Anolis sagrei: one gene and its partners. The protein of the gene in region 3 interacts with the protein of the main gene of each other region in a biochemical or structural test. Links are inferred from orthologs where the notes say so. Each region holds a gene or a part of one and is shown on either strand. Other genes may lie near its edges. The genes, in order: KCNA4, ADRB1, DLG4 and RPS6KA1.

Region 1 (7,961 bases), on a different chromosome or scaffold from region 3:
CAGGGGGTTGGACTGGATGGCCCATGAGGTCTCTTCCAACTCTTTGATTCTATGATTCTATGATTCTGTGATTATTCTTAGGATTGCTAAGTTTTGGGTATAGCAGTGGTCCAATAGGGGGAGGAGGGAGCATCCTTAAACAGTGGTAGAATGACTGCTATGGGCTGCAAGTGATGGGGGCATGATTGTTGTTGTGTGTTCTAAAGTCATTTCGGACTTATGGTGATTCTAAGTCAAACGAACAGTTTCTGGGACAGAGTGGAGAATCAAAGTCTGGTCTTTGGAGTCATAAATCAATGCTCAAATCAGCAGACCTGCACTAGTTCTCATATCTATTCTTCCCACATAAAACTCCTTTCTTTTCTGTGGCCTACACAGCGATCTCAATGGTCCAAATTTTATCTTTTTAAAATCAGAGCTTTTGAGCTTTTTAATTGGAATGTTCTTATTAAAGACAATTTATAATTTAGTTTAGAATCTTTATTCCAATAATTAATAGATTAATACAGGTTGAGTATCCCTTATCTGGAATTTAGAAATGCAAAATACTTCAACATCTGAAATCCTCTAGGTGAGTGGGTCCAATAGTGATATCTTTGCTTTCTTATGGTTCAGTGTACACAAACTTTGCATCCTGGACAATATTATTGAAAAAAAATTAGGCCAGACCTGCACAACAAATGGCCCGTGGGCTACTTGTAGTCTGCCAAAGGATTCTCGACCTCTTAAAGAGGCTGCTACTCTCACCACTTCCCCTGTTGCCAGCCCTTCCAGTTGCTTGACATCACACTCTGACTCTCCCAAGCTACCTTGTATAGATGCCACCCCTTCAAGCCTCAGGGGCTCCAGGCGTCCATCCAGCCACTGCTTGAAAGCTCAGGGCACCACAGGCTACCACAATCCCTGGTTACCAGGTGCTATTCTACACACATACATGGTTTGTAGCCTGATGAAACCTATCAGAAATCCTGGAGGTGTGAGGAATGGTAGAAGAGCTGGTCATTCATTTCCTAGGGCACATTAAGGGTGCATCTACAATGCACCTGCAGATAGATTCTATAGTAGAATGGATGCAATTTGACACCACTTTAACTCCAATGTCTCAATGCTATGGATTCTTAGTAGTAGTAGCTTGGTGAGATGCTAAAAACCTGTGTTTGAAAAAGTTTAGCCTAGTTTAATTTTGGCCCCTCCCTACTACAGTGCTGTGCATGTCTGTTGTAGGCAGTTACCTTCAGATGATGCATGTAAGGTGCAGAATCTAGAAGGCTTGGGTCTCACTCAGTGCTGGATTTAGGACAAATGAGGCCATGTGCTAGTTCAGTTAGGAGGGTCCTTCCTTGGGTCCTGAAGGAGGTTGGCCCAGCAGGCCTCCACTGACTGCTTCGTGTCACACTCCCATAGACTATCAACTCTATCATTATGCCTGGAATGGCTCAGAAACTGTCAATATTTGTTTTAGCAGAAAGGGGTCCCTGTACTTCTACACCACTAAACACAATGGCAAATCTGGGACTGGTCCCACCACGTGGATCCAAAATAGGTCTTCACGGCCACTTATGAACCCACTGTTTTGTCTCTACTCTTGGACGACAGTCATACCTGGAAAGGAGTGATCACCCATGAAGATATGCAAGTGTTCGGGGGGGGGGGGGGGGAGCCCTGGAACATGAAACACTTTTGGTCACAAGCATTTCAGACAAAAGAGGCACAGTGTTGCTGGGAGTTTTCCAGGCTGTATGGCCATGTTCCAGAAGCATTTTCTCCTGATGTTTTGTCCACATCTATGGCAGGCATCCTCAGAGGTTGAAGACTCTATTGGAAACTAGGCAAGTGAGGTATATATATCTGTGGAATGATGTCCAGGGTGGGAGAAAGGACTCTTGTCCGCTTGAGGCAGATGTGAATGTCTAAAATCAGGACAGTTAATAAAGAACAACACTAAAAAAGCAGGGGAATTCCATGCAAAAATCAATCAAGGCCACCTAACACCTCCCAACAAAGGATTTCCCTAGGCAGCAACTAGACAGTCTTTGAAGCTACAAGGTCATTAAAATGCTAATCAAGGTGGCCAATTGCAACCGTCACAATTTCCTCAAGCAGACAAGAGTTCTTTCTCATCCTGGACATTCCACAGATATATAAACCTCACTTGCCTGGTGCCCCTGGTGGGTTTAACCCTTGTCCTGGCAGGACTGCTGACCAATAGGTCACTGGTTTGAATCCAGGGAGAGCAGGCTGAGCCCCCTCTGCAGATGGCCAATTCTCTCACACCTGAAGTGACTTGCAGTTTCTCAAGTGGCTCCTGACACACACACACAAACCTCTTGCCTAGTTTCCACCAGACCCCTCAACACCAGGACAGAATGCTTCTGGAACATGGCCATACAGCCCAGAGAACTCTCAGAAACCCAGTGATTCTAGCCATGAAAGCCTTGAGGCCTCATCACACTAGACTAGAGAATGAATCCACTTCATGGACTGGGCTGTGGCACAGCTAGTTAGTAGCCAGCTGCATTAAATCATTACTGACCAAGAGGTCATGAGTTTGAAGCCAGCCTAGGGTGAGAAGGGCGGAATATATGGGCCGGAGGTTAAGCACAGCTGGGAAAACATCAGTAATTATAAGATCTATCAACCAAAAGGTTGCAAGTTCGAAGCCCTGGGTTGGTGTGAGCTGCCAACTGTTAGCCTAGCTCATTGTTTACCTAAGCAATTTGAAAACAGCTTTAGCTGTGATTAGAGAAATTAGGTACCGCTAAAAGTGGGGGAGGTGTTTTATGATGCCATAAAGAAATAAGATCAGAAAATGCTGGGCGACCAAAAGAAGGAAGTCCTAATGGCTCTTCGTCATAGAGGATAGAGCAACAGCATCCCCTGGGCTTGAGCTCAACCTCCATGGCACCTCCTTCTGTTCTGTGTATTGTCTATACAAAGTGGCATTGAATGTTTGCCGTGTATGTGTACTGTGATCTGCCCTGAGTCCCCTTTGGGGTGAGAAGGGTGGAATATAAAGGAAGTGTTGTTGTTCATTCGTTTAGTCACTTCCGACTCTTTGTGACCTCATGAACCAGCCCACGCCAGAGCTCCCTGTCAGCCATCACCACCCCCAGCTCTCTCAAGGTCAAGCCAGTCACTTCAAGGATGCCATCTATCCATCTTGCCCTTGGTTGGCCCCTCTTCCTTTTTCCTTCCATTTTCCCCAGCATCACTGTCTTCTCTAAGCTTTCCTTTCTTCTCATGATGTGGCCAAAGTACTTCATCTTTGTCTCTACTATCCGTCCCTCCAATGAGCAGTCAGGCTTTTTTTTCTGAAGTATGGACTGGCTTGATCTTCTCTTGGTCCAAGGCACTCTCAGAATTTTCCTCCAACACCACAGTTCAAAAGCATCTATCTTCCTTCGCTCAGCCTTCCCTATGGTCTAGCTCTCACATCCATAGGTGACTATGGGGAATACCATTGCTTTAACTATGTGGATCTTCATTGTCAGTGAGAAGTCTCTACTCTTCACTATTTTATTGGTCATTGCTCTCCTCCCAAGAAGTAAGCGTCTTCTGATTTTCTGGCCACAGTCTGCATCTGCAGTAATCTTTGCACCTAGAAATACAAAGTTTGTCACTGCCTCCATGTTTTCCCTCTCTATTTCCCACTTGTCAATCATTCTTGTTGCCACAATCTTGGTTTTTTTGATGTTTAGCTGCAAACCGGCTTTTGTGCTTTCTTCTTTCATCTTGATTAGAGGCTCCTCAGCTCCTCCTCGCTTTCGGCCATCAAAGTGGTATCAGCTGCATATCTAAGGTTTGTTTGTTTGTTAACTGTTTTTATCTGAAATATGTGGCCTGCCCATTGTCATCACTACCATGTTTGTGTTTATTGGAATGTTTATTTTATTTTAATGTCATTTTGATAATGTTGTTGTTGTTTGTTTTATATGCTTTGATTTTATTGCTTTATTGATTTTATTGCCCCATGTAAGCCGCTCCGAGTCCCATTGGGGAGATGGTGGCGGGGTAGAAATAAAGTTTTGATTGATTGATTGATTGATAAGGTTGCTAATGTTTTTTCCAGCAATTTTAACCCCAGCCTTGCATTTGTCAAGCCCTGCACATCGCATGACGTATTCTGCATGAAAGGTGAATAGGTTGGGTGAGAGTATACAATCTTGCTGTTCGCCTTTATTATTATTATTATTATTAATAATAATAATAATATAAATACTGTAAATAAGCAATAAATAAATAAATAAATAAATACGGTTGCCGCGTCCTGCAGAACTCTGTGGTTTGTAGTTTAGGAAGGAGCCTTTAACAGCCTCACTAAACTACAACCCGCAGAATTCTGCAGGAGGCAGAAACCGGATTTGAAGTGGATCCATTCTCTAATGCAGGGGTCCTCAAACTAAGGCCCAGGGGCTGGATGTGGCCCTCCAAGGTCTTTTACCCGGCCTTTGTTCAGGGTCAACGACTTGAAAGCACACAACAACAACAACAATCCTATCTCATCAGCCAAAAGTAGGCCTACATTTCCCATTGAAATACTAATAATTTTATATTTGTTGAAATTGTTCTTCATTTTAATTATTGTATTGTTTTAAGTATTTTTTGCACTACAAATAAGATATGTGCAGCGTGCATAGGAATTCATTCATTTTTTTTCCAAATTATAATCCGGCCCTCCAACAGTTTGAGGGACTGTGACCTGGCCCTATGTTTAAACAGTTTGTGGACCCCTGCTCTAGTGTGATGAGAGGACCAGACAAAGGGGGCACAATCTGTACGTGGGGCGGTGCTGGGGTTGGGGAGGAAAAGGGTGGCAGGTGCTGAGGAGGCGGCTGACCGCTAGGGGCCGATGGAGAGCTAGCAAACCTGCGGAATCAATCAGACCGAGCCCCGCCGTTCTGTCCATCAGCGGATGCGTAAACACAACTGCGACTTGGGCAGGCGACTCCTTCTCCCGAGCGAAGGTGTATCGGGGAAAGGGAGGGAGGGAGGGAGAGAGAGAGGGAGAGGGCGACGAGCGGGCGAGAGAGAGAGAGAGAGAGAGAGAGAGAGAGAGAGAGAGAGGCCAGGCGCAACAGAGCGCGCAAAGCAGCGTAGGCGCAGGAGGCGGCACGGGAGCATCCTAAGAAGAGGAGGAGGAGGAGGAGGAGGAAGCAGCAGCAGGAGCAGCGCCTTCAAGGAGCGGCCCCCTCCCTCCGGCTCCCCGAACGGCCCCCTCCCTCCCTCCCTCCCACCCTGACCAAGATTATTCCGAGGAGAAGAGGAGGCACGCGCGGAAACAGAGCGGCAGCCACGACAATAACAACCAAAACAACAGCAACAACAAGTGGACGCGATTGCCTCGGGAGCGAAATCGGGCGAAGCGAGCCACCGCAAGGCAGCGGGGAAGGAGGAGGCAGGAGGGGACGGCCGCAAGGCAGCGCGCGGCGTGGGTCTGCGAGGCGCGTCTCCTCTTTTCCTGCCAGTAGCAACAGCCAGCTTTCCTCGGGGAGAGAGGAGCGGGGAGAGAGGAGGAGGAGGAGGAGGAGGAGGAGGGCGCCTTCCCCAAGGCCTTGGCTGGCAACAACTGCTTGGCAGAGGCGCGCGCGAGGGAGAGAGGCCGGTCCCCGGGCCACGAGCAGCTCCCGCCCATCTCGCCCAGTCCAGTCTGCTTCTGCGGGAGGCGGCGGCGGCGTTGGATGCCTTCTTTCCCTCAGGGATGGCTATGGGGTCAAGCACAGCGGGAAAGGCAAGACGAAGTGAGCTGCGGCGGGAGCGTGCCCGGAATGCCCCCTAGGACCAACCCTGGGGGTGGCCGTGCCCTGGCTTGCCTTCCCTTCCAGCCCGCGGCTCACACACCAAGGAGGCCCAGCCAAGCCGTCGCCCCTCTGCCTCGCTCCCCTCCTTCCTCCTCCTCCTCCTCCTCCTGAGCGCCGCACCTGTGAAAACAGGTTGCTCAGAACAGCCTCCCCTCCCTCTCTCCCCCCCCCCCCCCGCCCGTTCTTCTCTCGCTTTGCAGATCCTCAACGCTGCCTTTTCTCTGCCTACCGCGGTAAGTAGACAGGGATGGTCCTCCCTCGAAGCTTAGGGGCTATTTTAGATCTCGTTTTAAGGAGATTTTGTCTCTGAAGCATGCTTGTTTTTTTAAAGCCTCAATATGGGTAGTTCGCATGTGGGAGGCTCCGTTGCCTGGCTGCTTGATTCCTCATGCAGCACCACCTCTTCGCTCTAATATTGCCTCATGCTGCCCGTTTCTGTGCTTTTTCTCTCTCTCTCCTCCCTGGAGAAATGTGGTCATCCTTCCCAAAGACAGGTCTTGATTTGAGAAAGTGTATGATGAGCCTTCTCTCCCCACAGTGTGCTTACTGTCATCATGTTGATACATGTATTAAGGGCAGCGCTTTGTTCTAAAAGGATTCTGGGTGGCATTTGTCCATGTTTTTCTCTTGATTATATGTACGCATCCATTAATTTAAAGCCACGGTTGATCACTAACCTACAACCGTTTCCTACCAATCCAGGAGAGCCTTTTTAAATCCATTATACAGGCATAGAGAGCACAGTTGGGCTATTCCTGCAAATATCTCACTGTAAACACACACTGCAACAGAGGCAGACCAGATCTCTCTCTAGTGATAAAAAGCACTGTGTGTGAAACAGTGAATGCAGACAGAGAGCACAACAAGCTGTGCACCTCATTATGTTATAGTCATCACATCTATTCTGCATTCATGCTCATGTTGTTGTTCACAAGTAGATCTCTATATATATTATGTAATGCAGAGATACCTGCATTTCACAGTCTAGGTTTGTATTCAAAATCATCTCCCTAGATATTAAAAAACTCTGAGTGAGATGTGGGTGTGTGTATGCTTGCTTATTCTTCTAACTACATCTATATATAGTCAGATGAACATAGACACAGAAAGATTGTGTGTGCCGCATGTGGGTGCACAATGACAGGGAATGATGAGTAGTGCAAGTAGGCAAATCTGAGCCTTTGATGTGAATTACCTTAATCTGGATTATGATCAATCCTTTTCCCCATCCCCATTTTTTTGTTTTCCTGTATGTACCTCAGGTTACACATGACTGCTGCACAGGACTAACCGAAAGGTGCTCCATTCCTTTCTCTCCAATGGGAAACAAAGAACCAGTGTTTCAACCATCTCCTCCTCATCCACCTTCTCTCTCCATAATTGCTGTTCCAGCCAATGCTTTGCCCAGTTTGAAACACTGTTGAGAGACTGACGGATGTGGTTATGCTAAGACCTCCTCACTGTGTAAACAAAATGAAAACTGGAAGCTCCTTCAACTTTCTAAAGAAATTAATCAGCAATCTCATTTCTAAGCTGTTGTGAGAATACTGGCTGTTTTGCACGTGATTATGCGAGAACTCAAGAGCTTTTGTGAGGGGGAAAAACCTGTGCCCCATCTTCATTTGCTTAAGTGCATCGTTTGCATGATGCAAAACATTCAACACCATGAACTCAGAGCTATGGATTTTTCATAAAGCTCTGAAGAAAGACCTAGCCAATGTGTTTTCACAGATAAAAGGACACCATCCAGATATATTGTTTGGCTACTTCAGAAGATTCTGTACTGTACCTGTGAAAATATTCTTGAGGAATCTTTGTGTCAAAATCCTCTGGACCCTACCTAAGAAATGGAACTCTTGCCTCTGAGAAATCTATGGTGTGAAAACTCAAGTCTGCTGCTAGTCTGAGACAACACTTTTTCGAAAACATGGCTTTCCAAACTTTAGTGGTCTTGTCATTCTCATGCAAAGCACCCAGTGATAAAGGCTGAAAAAACAGACATCTTTTTTCCTTCTTAGTCTTCAAAAACAAGCACATACAACATGGAGGTTGCAATGGTAAGCGCAGAGAGCTCTGGGTGCAATAGCCACATGCCTTATGGATATGCAGCCCAAGCAAGAGCCAGAGAAAGAGAGCGACTGGCACAGTCCAGGGCAGCGGCGG
Region 2 (8,062 bases), on a different chromosome or scaffold from region 3:
TTTGTTTCTTTTTCCCTCCTTCCATAATTCTATCTATTCCTTACTTGATATATTTACATATAATAAGAGTATCTGCAGGGTTATGTCATCTGCACATTTAGGTGAGCACGAGACTGGCATGAGAATCAACATTGCCTGACCCAGAATTTAGCTGAAGAAACAGGAAGGAAGAAAAGAAAAAAAGCACTCTGTTTTTGGCTGCTAGAAGTGTTGCCAAACAACAAAACTACCCCACCACACACTTGCTATTTCTTGCAACCTGTTTCCTCATATATAACCACTTTGCACCTCAAGCAAGGGATAAAAGTGTGATACAAATATAATAATAATATCAACAATATTAGGAGTAGAAATTTGTCAACAAAATGATTTTTACCACTATTCACCACTGAGTCTCTTCAGATAAAAAAGTAGTATGTAAACAAAAAGGAGGAAAAAGAGGAAGAAGGAAGAGAAGGAGAAGAAGGAAGCAGGTGTAGTAGTTCTTAAGGCCCCTTCTATCCTGCCATATAATCCACATTATCTGGATTGAACTGGATTACATGAGTCTACAAAGCAGATAATCTAGATTTTATATGGCAGTGCAGAAGGGGCCCAAGAAGAAAGATTCCATTTGGGGGCTTAGAGAAATAGTAAGCAAAGGTGTGTATGGACACAATAATAAACATCAGGTGTGTATAAAGTGCTGCATGATACACAAAAAGTGTGGAAGCCAGTGTGATTCTGGTCCCTTCTACACAGACATATAAAATCCAGATTATCTGCTTTGAACTGGATTATTATTATTATTATTATTATTATTATTATTATTAAGGAAACTCAAGACTTGGCTGTGGGACCTTGCATTTGACCATTGAAAAGAGGCTTATATGAAGAAGACATAAGCAATTTCGAAGTGACAATGAATTGACCCGGACCCAGATTTTAATTGGCGTGTTTTAACAACTGTTTGCTTAATGTTTTGTTTTAATAAATTTGTTGATTGTTTTTATCATTATGATGGCACCAAATGGTGTTTGCTGTGAGGCTGTCCTGAGTCCCCCCTAAGGGGGGGGGGGTGAGAAGGACAGGTTACAAGTATATGAAATAAATCAATAAATCATATGGCAGTGTAGACTCATATAATCCAGTTCAAGCCAGATAATGTGGATGATATGCTTTGATAATCTGGATTATATGGCAGTATGGAAGGGGCCACAGTGATTTCAGAGTTGCGGTAGGACTGTAAGAACAGAGTTCAAATCTACAAATGGCATGGATATCCACTGGATGACCCTAGACAAGTCACAATCTCTTGGCCTAAGAGGAAGGCTAAGACAAACCTCCTCTGAACAAATCCTGTAGAGCCAGTGTTTTGTAGTAGTTTGAATATTACAGCCTTATCACACAAGGCAAAATAAGCATCCTAGGACACTTCTGCCCCAGTTCAACCATGGAGCCCCACACTGCCCATCATATGACATCGGGCGACTTCTGGTGGGGCTTCATTGATGAACTGGGGCATCAGTGTGGAAGGACTACTACAAACACAAAGGTAGCCCCATGTTCCATAAGAAACAACACATGGGATGAGGAAGCATCAGTTGCTGGCTGGGGCTCCGGGATTGCCCCAATACTACCCTGATTTGCCATGGATGCTGGCGAATCACAATCCTGGTAAGACAGCATGTGATGAGGTCCTTAGACTGTGTACAGACCAGGATTTGAATCCCTGATCTGTCATGGAAACCCTCTGGATGGCCTTGGGCAAGTCACATTCCCTCACTATCTTAGGAGAAAGCAACCTCAGAAGGTAAGCTTCCCAATAATGCCATAGCACAGCAATCGTCTGGTTAATTACACATTTGTGTGTGGGGAGGGGGGGGAGGGAGGGAGAAAGATTGTGTGACTAGTGTTGCAGTCAGACCTCTTTATATGTGAGGACTCAGTTCTGCAGATAGGAAGAAAACCGAATCCTCTCTTTTAAACTTGTCCATAATTACTGATAGTCATCAGAGGGCTTGATGCATATCTTGCCACCAAGGATGTATCCATGACTAGACTTTTTCTTTCTCAGCATCTTCATCATGTAAATCCCTCCCTTGGTGCTTGACCTTCTCTTTATCATACCATAAACGGGCAGCTAAGACTATTTGATTCGGTTGGCATTTAAAATGAGAACCAGCCTGGTATAGTAGTCTGAGGACTACACTTGACTTGAAGCCATGGAAACCCACCGGGTGATTTCGAGCAAGTCATACTCTTTCCATCTCAGAGGAAGGCAAAGACAAACCTCCTCTGAGCAAACCTTGCTAGGAAAACCGTAAGATAAATTTGCCTTAGGGTTGCTGTAAGTCAGAAAGGATTTGAAGGCACATAATAACGTAACTAAATGTTGCACTACTAGATCTTAAAATGGGGAACATTCAGTGCATCCATAAGGAAGACTTGCAGCAGCAACAACAAACATCCAAAGGGAGTCAGGGCGTTTTTCTCCCTATAATAACATCAATCATATTGCTAATTTGAATGGTGATAGTAATGATTAACTTTCTAGCCTGCCTTTTCCCTCAGAATCAGGACTAAAAAGGGGGGCTAACCTTGCAACAGAGGCTCATTTCAAGAAGCGCAATGATGAAGCATTCATTCAGGGCAGGTAAACAGAAATCCTTCCACAGCTCCTTCCTAAATGCTTCCCCCAAGATTTGTTTGGATGGCTTTTAATGGTGTTGGGAGGAACAGCAAGAAGAGCTGAGGTTGGTGGAGAATGCCTGTGGCTCTGGGATGCCTTCAGGATCTCAATTAAAGCTTGTGCACCAGTTGCACCTGTATCTTGAGAAGCCAGACCCACGCTCTTGTTACATCAAGAATAGATTACTGCAATGCACTCTATGCAGGGTTGCCTTTGAAGACTGTTCAGACGTTTCAAATAACCCAAAGGGCAGCAGCCAGATTCCTCACTGGAGCGGGGTATAGGGAGCACACAACCCCTCTGTAACGTCAGCTCCACTGGCTGCCAGTCTGCAACAGAGCACAATCTGAAGTGCTGGCTTTATCCTATAAAGCCCTGAATGGTTCTGGCCCAGCTTACCTGTCAGGGCCTTCTAAGTGGTGGCTCCTCGACTCTAGAATTCTCTCCCCAGTGAGATTAGATCAGCCCCCTCCCTCCTGACTTTTAGAAAGAGAACAAAGACATAGGACCAAGCTTTTGACTGGTAAAGTAATGCAGTACAAGAAGTAAATATGGAATATGTGCAATTGACATTTGCTGGAAGGGAAGGGAAGGGAAGGGAAGGGAAGGGAAGGGAAGGGAAGGGAAGGGAAGGGAAGGGAAGGGAAGGGAAGGGAAGGGAAGGGAAGGGAAGGGAAGGGAAGGGAAGGGAAGGGAAGGGAAGGGAAGGGAAGGGAAGGGAAGGGAAGGGAAGGGAAGGGAAGGAAGGAAGGAAGGAAGGAAGGAGAGGAAGAAAAGAGAGAAGGAAGGAAGGGTGGAATGGAATGAAGGGAGGGAGAAAGAGGGAGGGAGGAAAGAAGGAAAGACAAAAGGGAAGGAAGAAGGAAGGAAGGAAGGAAGGTAGGAAGAGGGGGGGAGAGAGAAGGAAGGACAAAAGGGTGCAAGGGAAGGATGGAAGGAGAGGAAGGGAGGAAAGAAAGAAGGAAGGAAGAAAGGGTGGAATGGAATGAAGGGAGGGAGAAAGAGGGGGGAGGAAAGAAAGAAGGAAAGACAAAAGGGAAGGAAGGAAGGAAGGAAGGAAGGAAGGAAGGAAGGAGAAAGAGGGAGAGAAAAGGAAGGAAGGACGAAAGGATGGAAGGGAAGGATGGAAGGAGAGGGAGGGAGGGAGGAAAGAGAGAAGGAAGAAAAGTTGGAATGGAATGAAGGGAGGGAGAAAGAGGGAGGGAGGAAAGAAAGAAAGAAAGACAAAAGGGAAGGGAAGGGAAGGAGAAGGAAGGAGAAAGAGGGAGAGAGAAAAGGAAGGAAAGATGAAAGGGTGGAAAGGAAGGATGGAAGGAGTGGGGGAGGGAAGGGAGAGAAGGAGGAAGGAAAGAGAAGGAAAGACAAAAGGGAGGGAAGGAGGAAAGGGTGGAAGGGAAGCGAAGGGGAGAAAGGAAAGAGAGAAGGAAGGAAGGAAGGATGAAAGGATGGAATGGAGAGAGGGAGAAAGGAAAGGAAGGAAGAAGGAAAGGATGGAAGGGAAGGAGAATAGAGAGGGAAGGAGGAAGAAAGCGAGAAGGAAGGAAGGATAGGCTGTTGAGCGAGAGGAGGGCCTGAGAAAGGGCCCAAGGGCCCACATCTGGTCCCCAAGCCTGGGTGTGCCCATACCTGGGCTATATAGCCTCCTTTGCCCAAAGGGTGCTGCTGTGTCTCACAAAGATCTCACAGCATGGAGCTATGGCTGTCAAGTTGCATCCCTTCAAGCCTGGAAAGGCAGCCTGAAGCAGCACTAACTGCCGCCTCCACTGCAACTTAGCAAACCGGGGGGGGGGGGGGGGGTCAGCCATAAAGAACTGTGCTGTCCCTAGGTTTGGCTCCAGGGGGAGGACGAGGGACAGGAGGAGGAGGATGAGGAGGACAGAAGAGGGCGCATTCAAGGGCATTCATTCGGCCACCAGAGCTGAAAGCGAAAGGCTTCCAGAGAGGGAGGGGGGAGAGAGAGAAAGAAGAGGAGAGGGACAGAGAGAGAGAGAGAGAGAGAGAGAGGAGGGAAGGAAAGCAATACAGGGATAAAAAGTGAGAAGGGGAGAGAGAGAGAGAGAGGAGGGAAGGAAAGCAATACAGGGATAAAAAGTGAGAAGGGGAGAGAGAGAGAGAGAGAAAGAAGGGGAGGCACACTGAGAGTGTATGTGCATGAAGGAGAGTGGGGGGTATAGACGAAGGGGGAGGTGAAGGACAGAGTGTGAGAGAAGAAGGGAGCGGGAAGGACAGGAAAAGAGGGCCAAGAGGGACCTAGAGATAGGCAGACGGGCAGGCGCAGAGAGATAACGCTTCCGAGAGAAACGTGGACTCCAGGGCGAAGGCAACGCTCTCCTCGAGCCCTCGTGGGCGCCTGGAGCTGCCTTCCTCCTGGTCTCCCTCTCCTCCTCCTCCTCCTCCTCCTCCTCCTCCCTCAGCCCCCCTTCTTCCAGAGGAACCCCTTCAGTCCTGCCTCCCCCTCCCTCTCTCCCTGCCTGAGTTCTCCGAGGGCTCGCCATTGGCTGCCCGGGTGCCGACGTCACTGGAGGGGGCGGGAGGCGTCTTCAGAGGCGCGGGAGCCCGCCGGAGAGGCTGGCTCGCGCAAACCATGCTGGAGCCCCGGAGCAAGTGGCGGCGGTGGAGGCGGCGTCGGAGGCGCTCCCAGCAGCGGCAGCAGCTGCTGCCAAGAGCCCGGCTCTCTTCCTCCTCCTCCTCTTCCTCCTCCTCTTCTCCTTCCTCCTCTTGGATGATGCCCTGAGCGGCCGGACCCCTCTTGCTGCTCTCCGCCGGACAGCCATGGGAGATGGCTGGGTCTTCCTAAGCGAGAGCCTCCAGAACCGGTCCAACTCCAGCGGTGCCCAAGGCAACGCCTCGTCCGCGCCCAGCCCGGGCGCCTTGCCCCTGGCCCCCAAGGAGCTGTCCCAGCAGTGGGTGGTGGGCATGAGCCTCCTCATGTCCCTGATGGTGACCTTCATCGTGGTGGGCAACGGCATGGTCATCGCGGCCATCGGGCGCACCCAGCGCCTCCAGACCCTCACCAACGTCTTCATCACCTCCTTGGCTTGCGCCGACCTGGTCATGGGATCCGTGGTGGTGCCTTTTGGGGCCACGTTGGTGGTGCGTGACACCTGGCTCTGGGGCTCCTTCCTCTGCGAGTGCTGGACCTCGGTGGACGTCCTCTGCGTGACGGCTAGCATCGAGACCCTCTGCGTCATCGCCATCGACCGCTACTTAGCCATCACCTCGCCTTTCCGCTACCAGAGCCTCATGACCAAGAAACGGGCCAAGGTCATTGTCTGCGTGGTCTGGGCCATCTCGGCCCTGGTCTCCTTCCTGCCCATTATGATGCAGTGGTGGAGGGACGACGACCCCGAAGCCTTATTGTGCTACGACGACCCCGGCTGCTGCGACTTTGTCACCAACAGGGCCTACGCCATTGCCTCCTCCATCATCTCCTTCTACGTCCCGCTCTCTGTGATGATTTTTGTCTACATCAGGGTCTACCGAGAAGCCAAGGAGCAGATGAAGAAGATCGACAAGTGCGAGGGGCGTTTCTACAACAACCACCACCAAAAGCAGCAACACCAACAGCCGCCAACCCACCAGCAGCTGCCTATCCTGGGCAACGGTCCGGCCACCAGGAGGAAAACCTCCCGAATCTTGGCCGTACGGGAGCAGAAGGCCCTCAAGACCTTGGGCATCATCATGGGGGTCTTCACTCTGTGCTGGCTGCCCTTTTTCTTGGTCAATGTGGTCAAGGTCTTCAACAGAGGGCTGGTTCCAGATCAGCTCTTTGTTTTCTTCAACTGGTTGGGTTACGCCAACTCCGCCTTCAACCCCATCATCTACTGCAGGAGCCCTGATTTCCGGAAGGCCTTCAAGAGGATGCTGTGCTGCCCAAGGAAAGTGGACCGGAGGCTGCATGCCACTACTGGGGATCTCTCTCGGTACCCGGGGGGCTTCATTAGTACTCTCGGAGATACTGCCCCATGCACTCTTGGAGGGACGTGGTCCGATTACAATGGTGGTGCCCGGGATGGAAGTGACTCCAGCTTAGAGGACAGGAACAGTAAAACCTCCCATTCAGAATCCAAGGTATAAGGGCAGTTTGGTGGGAAGGATCAGAGTTCGTGGTCAGTCCTGTGGAAACGGAAAGGGAGCTGAAGGAATAGACAGAACAGGAAGGAAGGAATAACTAAATCACTTGGGAGTCTGGCTAATGTACAAATCACCTGATTGACTTGCCATTATGGGGGAGAGAGTTGTATTTATCCTAGAGGGAAAGCAGGTGAACTTGGCTGTTCCATACCTCTTCTGAATCACCCGAAATGGAAGCAAACAGAGAGCATCTGGCCATTGAACAAAAGAGGTTAATGATCCACCTCCCACCCCCATCCCAACCTCCAAGATATTTGGATTATTAGTATTTACATGGAGGAGAGTTGCATGGAGAAACGGGGAGGGAGGCGTGAGTAAGTTTGAAGGAGTTTGCCAAACAAATGGCTTGTGAAGAGCTGGACTTGTAGCAGGCACTTAGGCTGAAAGTCACTGAAGGAGGCAACCAGGGTGTGTATTCCTTTGCCAATAATGGAAGGAAACATCATTGAGCCCTTGGTGGTTTGATTGGAGACTATGCTGGTTTTACAAAAAATGTTCTTTACATTTATCCCAAGAACTTAGCACAAAAAGTAGCCTCTTTTCAAAACATATATCGATATGTATCCTTTTCTGAGAAGTGCTGGTCACCCATATAAATCCATTGATACCAGCATGACTTTCGTGCAGGCAGTCAAAACCTTTTGCAAATCCATTCTAAAAGGCTCCTTTAATATGCTGTCGGGGGTAAATACCTTGGCGAGTTTTATCATGAGCCTGTGCGTATTTAGCAGAATTGAGTTGATGGAAGTTACCCTCAAGTAAATGTGCATTAGCTTACAGCCTTAATATCCTCGTGGCCACATTCTCCTTAACATCCTAGGAGGAAATGATCAATCAGTAATATTGACATGTTGTGTATTCTAATCAAGTATCTCCTTATTTCTGATCCATATTATATCCCATTGACTTGTGGGGTGGGGTGGGGGCTGAAGGTGCATTCTTCTTGTCCTACGAGACAACAGCAATCAGGCTACAAATTGTCTACCTCAAGCTGTGCATATTGTACAGGGGAAAACGTGTTTATATTAAACCGCTTATTTATGTCTTGTCAGTTAGGGGTTTGTTTTGTTTTCCATAGAGACAGAAGCATCCATCCTCTAGTAATCCCTTCATTCACGCTGAAAGGTGAGAGGGGAAACTGGGCTTGGAGCATTAAAAATATTGGGTTGTTGTGTGTTTTCCAGGCTGTATGGCCATGTACCAGAAGCATTCTCTCCTGATGTTTTGCCTGCATATATGGCAGGCATCCTCAGAGGT
Region 3 (7,584 bases):
CCTGGCAAAAAAAAAGTGTTTTGCGACCGCTTACTTCGCATAATGGACGAGCCGCCCCTGGGCGAACAGCAATCAATGGGGAGCTTTCTACGGTTTCATCTGAACGAATCCCTGAATTCAGTGCAAGAAGATGCCGTAAATACGGAACACGGCTCTGCATTTAGAGCAGAACAGACTGATCTACAAATATAGGGCGGGTGGCACATGGCTGCACAGCAGAACACGGCAAAAGGATGCCTTCGTCAACCGAGAAGGAAAAAAAGCCATTGACTGATATTGTAAGGCTGCAAAAGGAACATAAAGCCCATTGAAATGGTCCAAGCTCCTCTGGTACCTCACCAAACTACAAATCCCATGGTTCCATTGCTTACAAATCGCATGGTTCCATTGTTTGACACCTGATTCCACCTTAAATGGGTCCCTTTGGGAGCCATGGCTGTCCAAGTCTTGGATAGGAATGTGACCAAAAGTTAGAGAAGTAGCTACATTGGGGAATGGATTCATGAAATTATAGAGTGGAAGTGTTAGCAATAAATTATCAATAACTTTAAAGCAGTGGTTCTCAACCTTCCTAATGCCACGACCCCTTAATACGGTTCCTCATTTGTGGTGACCCCCAACCATCACATTATTTTCGTTGCTACCTCCTAACAGTCTTTTTTCTACTGTTATGAATTGTAATGTAAATATCTGATCTGCGGGATGTATTTTCATTCACTGGACCAAATTTGGCACATATACCCAATACACCCAAATTTGAATGCTGGTGGAGTTGGGGGGAATTGATTTTGTTGTTTGTGAGTTGTAGTTGCTGGGATCTATAGTTCACCGACAATAAAAAAGCATTCTGAACTCCACCAATGATGGAATTGAACCAGCCTTGGCACACAGAACTCCCATGACCAAGAGAAAAGACTGGAAGGGTTTGGTGGGCATTGACTTTGAGTTTTGGAGTTGTAGTTCACCTACATCCAGAGAATGCTGTGGACTCAAACAATGATGGATCTGGACCAAATTTGGCACAAATATTCAATATGAACACTGGTCGAGTTTGGGGAAAATAGACCTCGCCATTTAGGAGTTGTAGTTACTGGGATTTATAGTTCACCTACAATCTAAGAGCATTCTGAACTCCACCAATGATGGAATTGAACCAGCCTTGGCACACAGAACTCCTACGACCAAGAGAAAAGACTGGAAGGTTTTGGTGGGCATTGACCTTGGGTTTTGGAGTTGTAGTTCACCTACATCCAGAGAGTGCTGTGGACTCAAACAATGATGGATCTGGACCAAATTTGGCACAGCTACTCAATATGCCCAAATGTGAACACTCGTGGAGTTTGGGGGAAATAGACCTTGGCATTTGGGAGTTGTAGTTGCTGGGATTTATAGTTCACCTACAATCAAAGAGCATTCTGAACCTGACCAACAATAGAATTGGGTCAAACTTCCCACACAGAATCCCAATGACCACCAGAAAATACTCTGTTTTCTGATGGTCTTTGGCGACCCCTTTGACACCCCCTCACGACCCCCTCAGGTGTCCCGACCCCCAGGTTAAGAAACACTGTCATAAGGCATAAATCATAACTTTTTTTTTGCAATTTAGTTTCGAGTCCAAAGAAAACATAGCAAACTAAGTTGGATGATTGATGATATACATCTCGTTCAGTCATAGAATCCTAGAGTTGGAAGAGACCTCATGGGCCATCCAGTCCAACCCCATTTTGCCAAGAAGCAGGAAAATTGCATTCAAAGCACCCCCGACAGATGGCCATCCAGCCTCTGTATGAAAGCCTCCAAAGAAGGAGCGTCCACCACACTCTAGGGCAGAGAGTTCCACTGCTGAACAGCTCTCACAGTCAGGAAGTCCTTCCTAATGTCTTTCAATCCAAATTTGATGGGGATGATGGGAATTGGAGTCCTACCCTATGGACTTTGGGAAATGTTTGGGTTGAGGGATCAATGGTTTAACAATCCAAGATTTATACTATTATTGTATTGTCAAAGGCTTTCATGGCAGGAATCATTGGGTTGTTGTAGGTTTTTTTGGGCTATATAGCCATGTTCTAGAGGCATTCTCTCCTGACATTTCCCCTGCATTTATGGCAAGCATCCTCAGAGGTAGTGAGGTCTGTTGGAAGTAGGAAAAGGGGTTTATATATCTGTGGAATGACCAGGGTGGGACAAAGGACTCTTGTCTGCTGGAGCTAGGTGTGAATGTTTCAACTGACCACCTTGATGCACCAACAAGCCACACCAAACAACAGCCAGGCCATCAAATGCTAATCAAGGTAGTCAGTTGAAACATTCACACCTAGCTCCAACAGACAAGAGTCCTTTGTCCCACCCTAGTCATTCCACAGATATATAAACCTCGTTTCTAGTTCCAACAGACCTCACTCCCTCTGAGGATGCTTGCCATAGATGCAGGCGAAACGTCAGGAGAGAATGCCTCTAGAGCATGGCCATATAGCCCGGAAAAAACATACAACAACCCAACAAGGACATCTAATCACCTCTCAGCAAAAGTTTGCTCCAGGCACTGTCAAGCCATCAAATGCTAATCAAGGTGATCAGTTGAAACATTCACACCTAGCTCCAGCAGACAAGAGTCCTTTGTCCCACCCTGGTCATTCCACAGATATATAAACCCCTTTTCCTAGTTCCAACAGACCTCAATACCTCTGAGGATGCTTGCCCTAGATGCAGGCGAAACGTCAGGAGAGAATGCCTCTAGAACATGTCCATGTAGCCCAAAAAACTCTATTATTATTCTGCTGTATGGATAACATGATCAATCAATGTCCCAATCAACTGCACACAAGAGAGCAAGGAATTGATATCTCAAGTAATTGATCCACGTTGTTTGCTATTGGTCGGGTACTCCCCTGGGATAGTTTCTCCCTATCCATATTGGTACCACATCACAGCATGCCATAATGTCCCTAAGGGAAAATTGCACCCCAAACCCCAAATATATTCTGAATATATCCCCCCCCCCATTTGCCAAAGAGGGGGACAAATAATAATAATCCACAAAAGGCGAACCCGGCCTCGGCCTTACCTTGTCTGTTCACGGGCATCTCGCAGGCGGTTTGTACATGTACAACCTTAATCTCCTAATCTCCCTTCCCAAACATCTGCCAGCTTAAGAGATTTGCCCAGCAGATTGCAACCTCTGACCCGTCTTCCTCCGCTCCGAGGCATCCTGGGATGTGTAGTTCTTCTCTCTTGACCCCTCCGAAGTTACTCTCACACAGCTGTTTTCCGGTTCAGAAAGTTGGACGTGAGGTTTCTGAAAATCAGTTCCTGCCAAAGCCTGCCCTGTTTTGTAACGGCATTTGTGGCATGTTCAAAAGGCAGGCTTATTATTATTATTATTATTATTATTATTATTATTAGGTACACAAGATGGATGGATGGCATCCTTGAAATGACTGGACTGACCTTGAAGAAGCTGGGGGTGGTGACGGCCGACAGGGAGCTCTGGCGTGGGCTGTTCCATGAGGTCACGAAGAGTCGGAGACGACTGAACGAATGAACAACAACAACACACAAGATGAGTGCACAGCAAACAAGATCACTCTGCTGGCTGTATCGGCGAATAATGCATGTAGATCCCAGTAAGATGGCCTTTTGCAGCTGGCAGATGGTAATCTTGTCAGAGCCGATTGTGTTTAAGTGCAGGCCAAGGTCTTTAGGCACTGCACCCAGTGTGCCAACCACCACTGGGACCACCTTGACTGGCTTGTGCCAGAGTCTTTGCAGTTCCATCTTTAATTCCTCATATCATGTCAGCTTTTCCAGTTGTTTCTCTTCAATCCTGCTCTCACCTGGGATTGCGACATCGACAATCCATACTTTGGTTTTTAACACAATTGTGAAGTCAGGAGTCTTGTGGTCCACAACTCTGTCAGTCTGAATCTGGAAGTCCCAGAGGAGTTTGGCGTGTTCATTCTCTGTAACTCTTTCCGGCTTGTGATCCCACCAGTTCTTTGTCTCAGGTAGATGGTGTTTGTGGCACAAGTTCCAATGGATCATCTGAACATCGGTGTTGTGCCTCTGCTTGTAGTCTGTCCGCGATCTTCTTGCAGCAGCTGAGGATGGGATCTATTGTTTCAGCTGCTTCCTTGCAGAGTCTACACTTGGGATCTGTCATCGACTTTTCAATTCTGGCTTTGATGGCCTTGCTTCGAATGGCTTGTTCTTGGGCTGCCAGAATCAGGCCCTCCTTCGTCTCCTTTTTCAAAGTCCCATTTGTGAGCCACAGCCATGTTTTTTCTTTGTCAATTTGACTCTCAATTTTTCCCAGGAACTGTCCATGGAGAGCCTTCTTCTTTCGCCAGTTTTCTCTTCTGCTCTGGGTTGTGTTTTTACAGTATTCACTCTTTGTCTTTTGCACTTTGAGCAGTTTTCTGCTATTGACTTCCCTCAATGTTGGTTCTTGATTGCCTTTCACATAATCTTCCAGTGCGTGTTCCTCTTCTTCTACCGTTTGTTTCACTTGCATTATTGTTGTTGTTGTTGTTATTATTATAATATTATTATTACCTTAAGAACAGACAAGCATCCCGAGCTCTGAGGATTACCTGGGAAGGAATCCCACTGGAGCATTGCAGCACACCCAAATTCCTGGGAGTCACTTTGGACCGTGCTCTGACCTACAAGAAGCACTGCCTGAACATCAAGCAAAAAGTGGGCGCTAGAAACAACATCATACGAAAGCTGACTGGCACAACCTGGGGATCACAACCAGACACAGTGAAGACATCTGCCCTTGCGCTATGGTACTCTGCTGCTGAGTATGCATGCCCAGTGTGGAACACATCTCACCACGCTAAAACAGTGGATGTGGCTCTTAATGAGACATGCCACATTATCACAGGATGTCTGCGCCCTACACCACTGGAGAAATTACACTGTCTAGCCAGTATTGCACCTCCTGACATTCGCTGGGAAGCAGCAGCCAATAGTGAAAGGACCAAGGCAGAGACATCTCCAGCTCATCCCCTGTTTGAGTATCAGCCAGCATGTCAATGACTTAAATCAAGACATAGTTTTCTTAGATCTACAGAGACACTCGCTGGAACACCTCAGCAAGCGAGAGTCCAAAAGTGGCAGGCCCAAACCCAGCACCTCAATCCGTGGATGATACCAGATGAGAAACTCCTTCCTGGGCACACAGAAGACTGGGCGACTTGGAAGGCGCTGAACAGACTGCGCTCTGGCACCACGAGATGCAGAGCCAATCTTAAGAAATGGGGCCACAAAGTGGAGTCCACAACATGCGAGTGCAGAGAACAAACCACTGACCACCTGCTGCAATGCAACCTGAGCCCTGCCACATGCACAATGGAGGACCTTTTTTCGTCAATACCAGTGGCCAGATACTGGTCAAAGGACATTTAACCAACTACCAAGTTTGCAAAATCCGTGTTTTTTTTTTCCCTTTTCCCTTTTTAATCTGTGTGTTTGTTTTGTTCTGTTAGAATTGTAATACAATGGTATGGTTGCTGATGACACGATAAATAAATAAATAATAACAATAATAATAATAATTATTATTATTATTTGAAACACAAGATTATTACACAGCAGCCAGAGCCCCCGGTGGCGCAGTGGGTTACACCCCTGTGCTGGCAGGACTGAAGACCGACAGGTCGCAGGTTTGAATCCAGGGAGAGGCGGATGAGCTCCCTCTATCAGCTCCAGCTCCTCACGCGGGGACATGAGAGAAGCCTCCCACAAGGATGATAAAACATCAAATCATCCAGGTGTCCCCTGGGCAACGTCCTTGCAGACGGCCAATTCTCTCACACCAGAAACGACTTGCTCCTGACATGACAAAAAAAATTACACAGCAAAGGTCACTCTGCTGGCTGTTGTATTGGATCACACGTCGGACCCTTCCCAAGTGTCTAGGACGGTGTGTATTGGCAAATAATGTGTGCAGATCCGAGTCAGGTGGCCTTTTGCAACCGACAGATGGTAAATTTGTCAGCACCAATTGGTTTTAAGTGCAAGCCAAGGTCTTTAGGCAATGTACCTAGTGTGCCGATCACCACTGGGACCCCCTTGATTGGCTTGTGCCAGAGTCTTTGCAATTCTTTAAATCCTCATATCGTGTAAGTTTTTCCAGTTGTTTTTCATCAATTTCGCAGTCACCTGGCATTGCAATGTTGTTGTTGTTGTTGTTAGACATTTTAGGTATCTTCAAAAAGCAAGCTTAGATGATGATGATGATTATTATTATTATTAAAGGAAGGCTTATATTATTATTATTTGAAACACAACAACATTCCTATGCTGGTTTTTGTATTAGATCACATGTCAGACACTTTCCAAGTATCTAGGACTGTGTGATGCATCGGCAAATAATGTGTGCAGATCATAGAATCCTAGAATCAAAGAGTTGGAAGAGACCTCCTGGGCCATCCAGTCCAACCCCATTCTGCCAAGAAGCAGGAATATTGCATTCAAATCACCCCTGACAAATGGCCATCCAGCCTCTGCTTAAAAGCTTCCAAAGAAGGAGCCTCCACCACACTCCGGGGCAGAGAGTTCCACTGCTGAACGGCTCTCACAGTCAGGAAGTTCTTCCTAATGTTCAGATGGAATCTCCTCTCTTGTAGTTTGAAGCCATTGTCCCATTGCGTCCTAGTCTCCAGGGAAGCAGAAAACAAGCTTGCTCCCTCCTCCTCCCTGTGGCTTCCTCTCACATATTTATACATGTCTATCATATCTCCTCTCAGCCTTCTCTTCTTCAGGCTAAACATGCCCAGTTCTCTAAGCCGCTCCTCATAGGGCTTGTTCTCCAGACCCTTGATCATTTGAGTCGCCCTCCTCTGGACACATTCCAGCTTGTCAATATCTCTCTTGAATTGTGGTGCCCAGAATTGGACACAATATTCCAGATGTGGTCTAACCAAGGCGGAATAGAGCATGGGGAGCATTACTTCCTTAGATCTAGACACTAGGCTCCTATTGATGCAGGCCAAAATCCCATTGGCTTTTTTTGCCGCCACATCACATTGTTGGCTCATGTTTAACTTGTTGTCCACGAGGACTCCAAGATCTTTTTCACACGTACTGCTCTCGAGCCAGGCGTCACCCATTCTGTATCTTTGCATCTCATTTTTTCTGCCAAAGTGGAGTATCTTGCATTTGTCACTGTTGAACTTCATTTTGTTAGTTTTGGCCCATCTCTCTAATCTGTCAAGATCGTTTTGAATCCTGCTCCTGTCCTCTGGAGTCTTGGCTATCCCTCCCAATTTGGTGTCGTCTGCAAACTTGATGATCCTGCCTTCTAGCCCTTCATCTAAGTCATTAATAAAGATGTTGAACAGGACCGGGCCCAGGACGGAACCCTGCGGCACTCCACTTGTCACTTCTTTCCAAGATGAAGAGGAAGCATTAGTGAGCACTCTCTGTGTTCGTCCACTTAAGCAATTCCAGATCCACCTCACCGTAGTTCTGCCTAGCCCACATTGGACTAGTTTCCTTGCCAGAAGGTCATTACTGAAATCCAGGTACGCTACATCCACGGCATTCCCTGCATCTACCCAGCTTGTAGCTCTATCG
Region 4 (7,543 bases), on a different chromosome or scaffold from region 3:
TGTATGTGTGTGTGTGTGTGTGTGTGTATATATATATATATATATATTAGCTGTGCCCACCACGCGTTGCTGTGGCCAACCTTCCCTCTTTCTGTCCTTCTTTCCCTCCTTCCTTCCCTCCCTCCCTCTTTCCTTCCTTCCTTCCCTTCTTCCTACCTTCCCCCATTTTCTTCCTCTTCTGCTTTCTCTTTTCTTCTTTTTCTCTTTCCTTCTTTCCTTCCCTCCTTTTCTACATCTTCCCACCTTCCTTCGCTCCCTCTTTCTTTCCTTGTTTCCCTTTTTTCTTTCCGTCTCTCCTTCCTTCTCCTTTTTTCTTTCCTTTCTTTTCCTCCTTTTCTTCCTTTTTTTCTGTATTGTCATGTAGCTTTTCATCATTTAGCTTTTTGGGACTTTTGTTTTTTGGTGTTTTTATGAGTGAAGGACATACATTGGGTTGTTAATGTATTATGTCCAAATTTGGTGTCAATTTGTCCAGTGGTTTTTGAGTTCTGTGAATATCACAAACGAACATTACATTTTTATTTATATAGATGTGTTTGTGTGTGTTTAGCTGGAGTTACACTTAAGTGGCTGAGGGGGAAAAGGAAGGGGCCTGAGGCTGTTAGGAATGGTGGGAGTTGAAGTCCAAAACACTTGGAGGGCCAAAGCTGGCCCATGCCCGAGATATATATGTGTTTGTGTGTGTTTAGCTGGAGTTACACTTAAGTGGCTGAGGGGGAAAAGGAAGGGGCCTGAGGCTGTTAGGAATGGTGGGAGTTGAAGTCCAAAACCCTTGGAGGGCCAAAGTTGGCCCATGCATATGTATATGTGTGTGCATGTTTAGCTGGAGTTACACTTAAGTGACTGAGGGGAAAAAGAATGGGGTCTGAGGCTGTTAGGAATGGTGGGAGCTGAAGTCCAAAACACCTGAAGGGCTCAAGTTGGCCCATGCCTGATACATTTGTGTGTGTGTGTGTGTGTGTGTGTGTTTAGCTGGAGTTACACCTAAGTGGCTGAGGGGGGAAAGGAAGGGGCCTGAGGCTGTTAGGAATGGTGGGACTTGAAGTCCAAAACACTTGGAGGGCCAAAGTTGGCCCATGCACTATATATATATATATGTGTGTGTGTGTGTGTGTGTTTGTGTGTGTGTGTATGCGCGTGTGTTTAGCTGGAGTTACACCTAAGTGGCTGAGGGGGAAAAGAATGGGGTCTGAGGCTGTTAGGAATGGTGGGACTTGAAGTCCAAAACACTTGGAGGGCCAAAGTTGGCCCATGCACTATATATATATATGTGTGTGTGTGTGTGTGTGTTTGTGTGTGTGTGTATGCGCGTGTGTTTAGCTGGAGTTACACCTAAGTGGCTGAGGGGGAAAAGAATGGGGTCTGAGGCTGTTAGGAATGGGGGGACTTGAAGTCCAAAACACCTGAAGGGCTCAAGTTGGCCCATGCCCGATATATATATGTGTGTGTGTCTGTGTATGTAGCTGGAGTTACACTTAAGTGGCTGAGGGAGAAAAGAATGGGGTCTGAGACTGTTAGGAATGGTGGGAGTTGATGTCCAAAACACCTGAAGGGCTCAAGTTGGCCCATGCCTGATATATATATATGTGTGTGTGTGTGTGTATGTTTAGCTGGAGTTACACCTAAGTGGCAGAGGGGGGAAAGGAAGGGGCCTGAGGCTGTTAGGAATGGTGGGAGTTGAAGTCCAAACACTTGGAGGGCCAAAGTTGGCCCATGCCATATATATGTGTGTGTGTGTGCGTGTTTAGCTGGAGTTACACCTAAGTGGCTGAGGGGAAAAAGGAAGGTGTGTGTGTGTGTGCGCGTGTGTTTAGCTAGAGTTACACCTAAGTGGCTGAGGGGGAAAAGAATGGGGTTTGAGGCTGTTAGGAATGGTGGGAGTTGAAGTCCAAACACTTGGAGGGCCAAAGTTTGCCCTTGCCCAATATATATATATATATGTGTGTGTGTGTGTGTGTGTGTTCAGCTGGAGTTACACCTAAGTGGCTGAGGGGGAAAAGGAAGGGGCCTGAGGTTGTTAGGAATGGTGTGAGTTGAAGTCCAAAACACCAGAAGGGCTCATTGGCCCATGCCACACACATTGGCCCATGTGTGCGTGTGTGTTTAGCTGGAGTTACACTTAAGTGGCTGAGGGGGAAAAGAATGGGATCTGAGGCTGTTAGGAATGGTGGGACTTGAAGTCCAAAACACTTGGAGGGCCAAAGTTCGCCCATGCCCCTAAGTGGCTGAGGGGGAAAAGGAAGGGGGCTGAGGCTGTTAGGAATGGTGGGAGTTGAAGTCCAAAGTTGGCCCATGCCCGATATATATATATATATGTGTGCGTGTGTGTGTGTGTGTGTGTTTAGCTGGAGTTACACCTAAGTGGCTGAGGGGGAAAAGAATGGGGTCTGAGGCTGTTAGGAATGGTGGGACTTGAAGTCCAAAACACTTGGAGGGCCAAAGTTCGCCCATGCCCCTAAGTGGCTGAGGGGGAAAAGGAAGGGGGCTGAGGCTGTAAGGAATGGTGAGACTTGAAGTCCAAAACACCTGAAGGGTTAAAGTTGGCCCATGCCTGATATATATGTGTGCGCGCGTGTGTGTGTATGTTTAGCTGGAGTTACCCTTGAAGAAATGTACCTGTTCTGAATTACGTACATATGCAACTTAAGCACAACCCTTGTTTGTAACCTGGGGGCTCCTTGCCCCTCTCAATGAGCCAGGCAAGGCTTTCCAGTTGCTCAACTCTTTCCAAACCCAGGAAGGTAGGCAGGCAAGGAGGACGCCAGGGCTCTTACAGGGAAGGACACGATAGGGATCGATAGGGTCGATGCAGAGGGTCGGGTTACTCTAATGACGGTGGAGGGAGGGGGGATAGGAGAGGGAAGGGTCCGGCCTGGCGGGGCCTTGCTCCCGGGGGTCCGCGGCGCCCCCTCTTCCCTCCCTCCGTGCTTGCCTACCTCGGCCTCGTCCAGCTCCATGTCCACCAGCTCCATGTTCCCCTCCGGCCAGGGCTCGGCTCCCAGCTGCGCGAGCGGCATCGCGGCGGCCTCTTCCTCCGAGCGGGAGCCGCAATGCCTGCCTGTCTTCCCGCCGAAGCTGAGGGAGAGAACGAAGCTGCTCTCTTCTTCCCGCCAGACCGCAGCGTCTGTGCGGAACTCCTGCTGGAAGGAGGGGATAAGTCTGGGAAGCCACGCCCACCGTCCGCCCAGAGGCGGGGCCTAGAGACTCAGGCATGGGATGTCATGCCCACCGCCCGCCTACAGGCGGGGCCTAAGTCTGGGAAGCCACGCCCACCCTTTGTCAAGAGGCGGGGACTACAGACTCAAGCTTGGGAGGCCACGCTCACTGTCCTTCAAGAGGCGGGGCCTAGGGGCTCAAGGCTTGGAGGACACGCCCACCACCATCTCAAACCTGGAGCGCCACTCCCACAGTCCTTCAAGAGACTCAGGCTTAGGACGCTTCAAAAGGCTGTGGGCTTGGAGGACACGCCCACTATCCTTCAAGAAGCTCCGGCTTGGGAGGCCACGCTCACCATTCGCCTACAGGGGGAGCGCCACGCTCACATTCCTTCAAGAGGCGGGGCCTACAGCTTTGAGGACACGCCCACCGCCATTCCAGAGGCGGGTCCTAAGGCTGGAGCGCCAACCCACAGTCCTTCAAGAGGCGGGGCCTAATAGCTCAGGGCTGAGAGGCCACGCCCACTGCCCGCCCACAGGCGGGGCCTAGATTTGGAGCTACTTCCAGATTCCCGCCAAGAGGAGGCGCCCAGCCCAGGCAACCATGAGGCCAATGGGTTGTTGTAGGTTTTTCCGGGCTATATGGCCATGTTCTGGAGGCATTTTCTCCTGACGTTTCGCCTGCATCTATGGCAAGCATCCTCAGAGGTAGTGAGGTCTGTTGGAAGTAGGAAAAATGGGTTTATATATCTGTGGAATGACCAGGGTAATGTTTCAGCTGATCACCTTGATTTGCATTCAATGGCCTGGAAGCGCCTGGGGGGAATCTCTTGTTGAGAGTGAATTGATGTGCCTGATTGTTTACTCTCTGTTGTTTTGCTGTTGTAATTTTTGAGTTTTTTAATACTGGTAGCCAGATTTTGTTCATCTTCATGGTTTCCTCCTTTCTGTTGAAATTGTCCACATGCTTGTGGATTTCAGTGGCTTCTCTGTGTAGTCTGACATGGTGGTTGTTGGTGTGGTCCAGCATTTCTGTGTTCTCAAATAATATGCTGTGTCCAGGTTGCTTCATTGGGTGCTCTGCTATGGCTGATTTCTCTGGTTGAAGCAGTCTGCAGTGCCTTTCATGTTCCTTGATTCGTGTCTGGGCAATGCTGCGTTTGGTGGTCCCTATGTAGACTTGTCCACAGCTGCATGGTATAAGGTAGACTCCTGCAGAGGTGAGTGGATCCCTCTGTCCTTTGCTGAACGTAGCATTTGTTGGATTTTCTTGGTGGGTTTGTAGATTGTTTGTATGTTGTGTTTCCTCATCAGCTTCCCTATGCGGTCAGTGGTTCCCTTGATGTATGGCAGGAACACTTTTCCTCTGGGTGGATCTTCATCTTGACTCTCGTGGCTTGTTCTTGGTCTTGCAGCTCTTCTGATTTCTGAGGTGGAGTATCCATTGGCCTGTAGAGCCCAGTTGAGGTGGCTCAGTTCATCTTGGAGGCCAATGTTGGACTGCACCTTCCAGCATCCACCAGGAGAAGAAGCCTAAAGCTGCACTGCCACCCCCCTAAATCCCCCATAAGGAGGAGAAGGGGGACCCCAGGGTAAGGCTGCCACTGGCCCTGGGGTCGAATTGCCAGCTCCAGGAACTTCTCAGGAGCCCAAGGCTGAACTGCCACTCCCAGCAACCTCCAAGAGAGGGGTCTCCTGCAGGGTTCTGGGATTTGTAGTTTAGTCAAGCCTGGGGTTTCTGTGGCTGGGGATTTTTAAGGCTCCTCCCTCACCAGCAAATCCCAGGAGTCTGCAATAGGCAGCCTTGGGATTTAAAGTGGGGAGTCCACTCCTGAAAGCAGGGGTCCTCAAACGTTTTGAACCAAGGACCAAATCAGACTGCTGGGTTCCAGCTTGAAAAAATGGAATGAATTCCTCAGCACAGTGCACTTGTTTTGTAGTGCAATGCAAGAAAACCATGAAAGAACAATCTATCTTCTATCTATATATATATAAATGCTCTGTGCATAATGAGTACCTTAAAAATAAAAGAACCAATGAACAAAATCACACCAAATTTGACAACAAAATGTTTCACAATCCAAGGAGTGACCATCACTCAAACAATTATGATTTTGTCATTTGGGAGTTGTAGTTGCTGGGATTTACAGTTCACCTACAATCAAAGAGCATTCTGAACTCCATCAATGATGGAATTGAACCAAACATGGCACACAGAACTCCCTTGACCAACAGAAAGGGTTTGGTGGGCATTGACCTTTGGTGGCCATTGACCTTGAGTTTGGGAGTTAACCCACAATCAAAGAGCATTCTGAACTCCATAAACAATGGAATTGATCCAAACTTAGCATGCCGAACTTGTGTGACCAACAGCAAATACTGGAAGGGTTTGGTGGGCATTGGCCTTGGGTTTTGGAGTTGTAGTTCACCTGCATCCAAAGAGCACTGTGGACTCAAACAATGATGGATCTGGATCAAACTTGGTACAAGCACTCAATACACCCAAATATGAACACAGGTGGAGTTTGGGGTAAATAGACCTTGACATTTGGGAGTTGTAGTCACTGGGATTCAAAGTTCACATACAAAGAGCATTCTGAACCCCACAAACAACAGAATTGGGGCAAACTTCCCACACGGAACCCCCATGACCAACAGAAAATACTTAAGGCTATCCAATCCAACTCCCTTCATCAGGGCAACAAAACGTAATCAAAGCCCTCCAGACAAAGAGCCATCCAGCCATAGATATAGATGGATGGATAGATAGATAGATAGATAGATAGATAGATATGATTCACACACACACAGATATAGTATCATAGATTTCAAAGGGACCCTTAAAGAAGGACAATGATATATTGCATGTTCCAGGATGGGCAAACCAGACACTCTCCACATCAACACTGACAAAGAAACAGCAAGAAATATTGTTTACCCACAAGCATAAAGAAATTACATATATTAGAAACCACCACTTTCTCATTACTTTATTTTCCAGATCAACAGACTGGGTCACAGCAATGCATGGCAGGGGACAGCTGGATTTCAATGGCTTCTCCAACAACCAACATGTCAGACTACACAGAGAAGCCATTGAAATCCACAAGCATGTGGACAATTTCAACGAAAAGGAGGAAACCATGAAAATGAACAAAATTTAGCTACCAGTATTTAAAAAACTCTAAAATAAGAACAGCACAACAACAGAGAGGAAACAAACAAGGACATCTAATCACCTCTCAACAAAAGATTGCTCCAGGCACTGCCAAGCAATCAAATGCTAATCAAGGTGATCAGTTGAAACATTCACACCTAGCTCCAACAGACAAGAGTCCTTTCTCCCACCCTGGTCATTCCACAGATATATAAACCCTTTTTCCTAGTTCCAACAGACCTCACTACCTCTGAGGATGCTTGCCATAGAAGCAGGTGAAACGTCAGGAGAAAATGCCTTTAGAACATGGCCATATAGCCCGAAAAAAGCCTACAACAACCATAAAAAAGATGCAATACAGTTTTAGGGAGTTATAGCTACTACTGTTTCGTTCTCGATGATCTTGAACTTTGCCCAGTTCCAAACCTTCAGAAAGGGCTTTTAATAAAAAAGAAAAGGAAGAAATCATATATTTATTTCGGTGCTCTTGATGAACTATAAATTTTCCCAAGAGGGGCAGATTTACTGTGGCTCAATAACAGAGATCATCCTTGGAAAGAGTTCTGAGATCCCTGGTTTAACTGCTGGGAAATCAACAAACTAGAGGTCAAGTGTGTCAACTGCAAATAGAGGAAACAGTTTAAAACAAATCATTCCTTTTGAATTACTCCAAAGGCACAAGGCAGATAGTATATCTGTTGCCTAGTTGTCAAGGTCATTCTTGGTATTATGAAGAAGTTAATGGCCAGCGTCCACTGAGTTAATGGGACAGACACGTGCCTGCAAATGCACCCCAGAACAGCTTTGGGGAGAAGCACGAAACTGTTCTGTTCCATTTCCACCCCTTCATTAATCGCTTGGATTATCTCAAGCTTCAATCTCTAGCAAACTGGCACATTGACAATACACCTGACAACGATAATGGAGAATTCAAGCATTTGAAGCTCAGTTTGAATCACAAGTGAAATCCTGATGCACTTTGATTCAGCACAGTGCCAGAAAGACGAAGCAGGTAAACAGATCATAAAACACAGATGATTATGCAAACGTCTCCAACCTGGCACTCTTCCAGTGACGGTGGACTACCACTCCCATCATTTCACCCAGCAGGCCAAAGGCTGGATTAGTATGGATGTAGTGTGCTTAGTGGGTATTTCTCTTGCTTATTGTTACCAAAGTGAATAAGAAAGGTTTTCTTGGCAGAACTTAAAGCCTATTCATTCTATTGATT

Evidence for each region.
Region 1: the proteins of DLG4 (region 3) and KCNA4 form a complex in vitro, tested with the Homo sapiens proteins (8 studies listed by BioGRID and IntAct, with this or other methods). The link is inferred for Anolis sagrei from reciprocal best matches to the Homo sapiens genes DLG4 and KCNA4.
Region 2: the proteins of DLG4 (region 3) and ADRB1 form a complex in vitro, tested with the Homo sapiens proteins (2 studies listed by BioGRID and IntAct, with this or other methods). The link is inferred for Anolis sagrei from reciprocal best matches to the Homo sapiens genes DLG4 and ADRB1.
Region 4: the proteins of DLG4 (region 3) and RPS6KA1 interact in a test that uses a peptide from one of them, tested with the Homo sapiens proteins (2 studies listed by BioGRID and IntAct). The link is inferred for Anolis sagrei from reciprocal best matches to the Homo sapiens genes DLG4 and RPS6KA1.

What each region holds. Positions count from the first base shown.
Region 1 is NC_090021.1:259,341,335-259,349,295, forward strand, and holds the start of KCNA4 (potassium voltage-gated channel subfamily A member 4), read left to right. Parts: upstream 1-4,873; 5' UTR 4,874-6,031; intron 6,032-7,060; 5' UTR 7,061-7,840; coding exon 7,841-7,961. UniProt on the Homo sapiens protein: Voltage-gated potassium channel that mediates transmembrane potassium transport in excitable membranes. Forms tetrameric potassium-selective channels through which potassium ions pass in accordance with their electrochemical gradient.
Region 2 is NC_090023.1:206,905,350-206,913,411, reverse strand, and holds the start of ADRB1 (beta-1 adrenergic receptor), read left to right. Parts: upstream 1-4,880; 5' UTR 4,881-5,443; coding exon 5,444-6,742; intron 6,743-8,062. UniProt on the Homo sapiens protein: Beta-adrenergic receptors mediate the catecholamine-induced activation of adenylate cyclase through the action of G proteins. This receptor binds epinephrine and norepinephrine with approximately equal affinity.
Region 3 is NC_090026.1:4,290,344-4,297,927, forward strand, and holds the start of DLG4 (disks large homolog 4), read right to left. Parts: upstream 3,141-7,584; 5' UTR 3,087-3,140; coding exon 3,068-3,086; intron 1-3,067. UniProt on the Homo sapiens protein: Postsynaptic scaffolding protein that plays a critical role in synaptogenesis and synaptic plasticity by providing a platform for the postsynaptic clustering of crucial synaptic proteins.
Region 4 is NC_090034.1:73,338,635-73,346,177, forward strand, and holds the start of RPS6KA1 (ribosomal protein S6 kinase alpha-1), read right to left. Parts: upstream 3,142-7,543; 5' UTR 3,018-3,141; coding exon 2,937-3,017; intron 1-2,936. UniProt on the Homo sapiens protein: Serine/threonine-protein kinase that acts downstream of ERK (MAPK1/ERK2 and MAPK3/ERK1) signaling and mediates mitogenic and stress-induced activation of the transcription factors CREB1, ETV1/ER81 and NR4A1/NUR77, regulates translation through RPS6 and EIF4B phosphorylation, and mediates cellular proliferation, survival, and differentiation by modulating mTOR signaling and repressing pro-apoptotic function of BAD and DAPK1.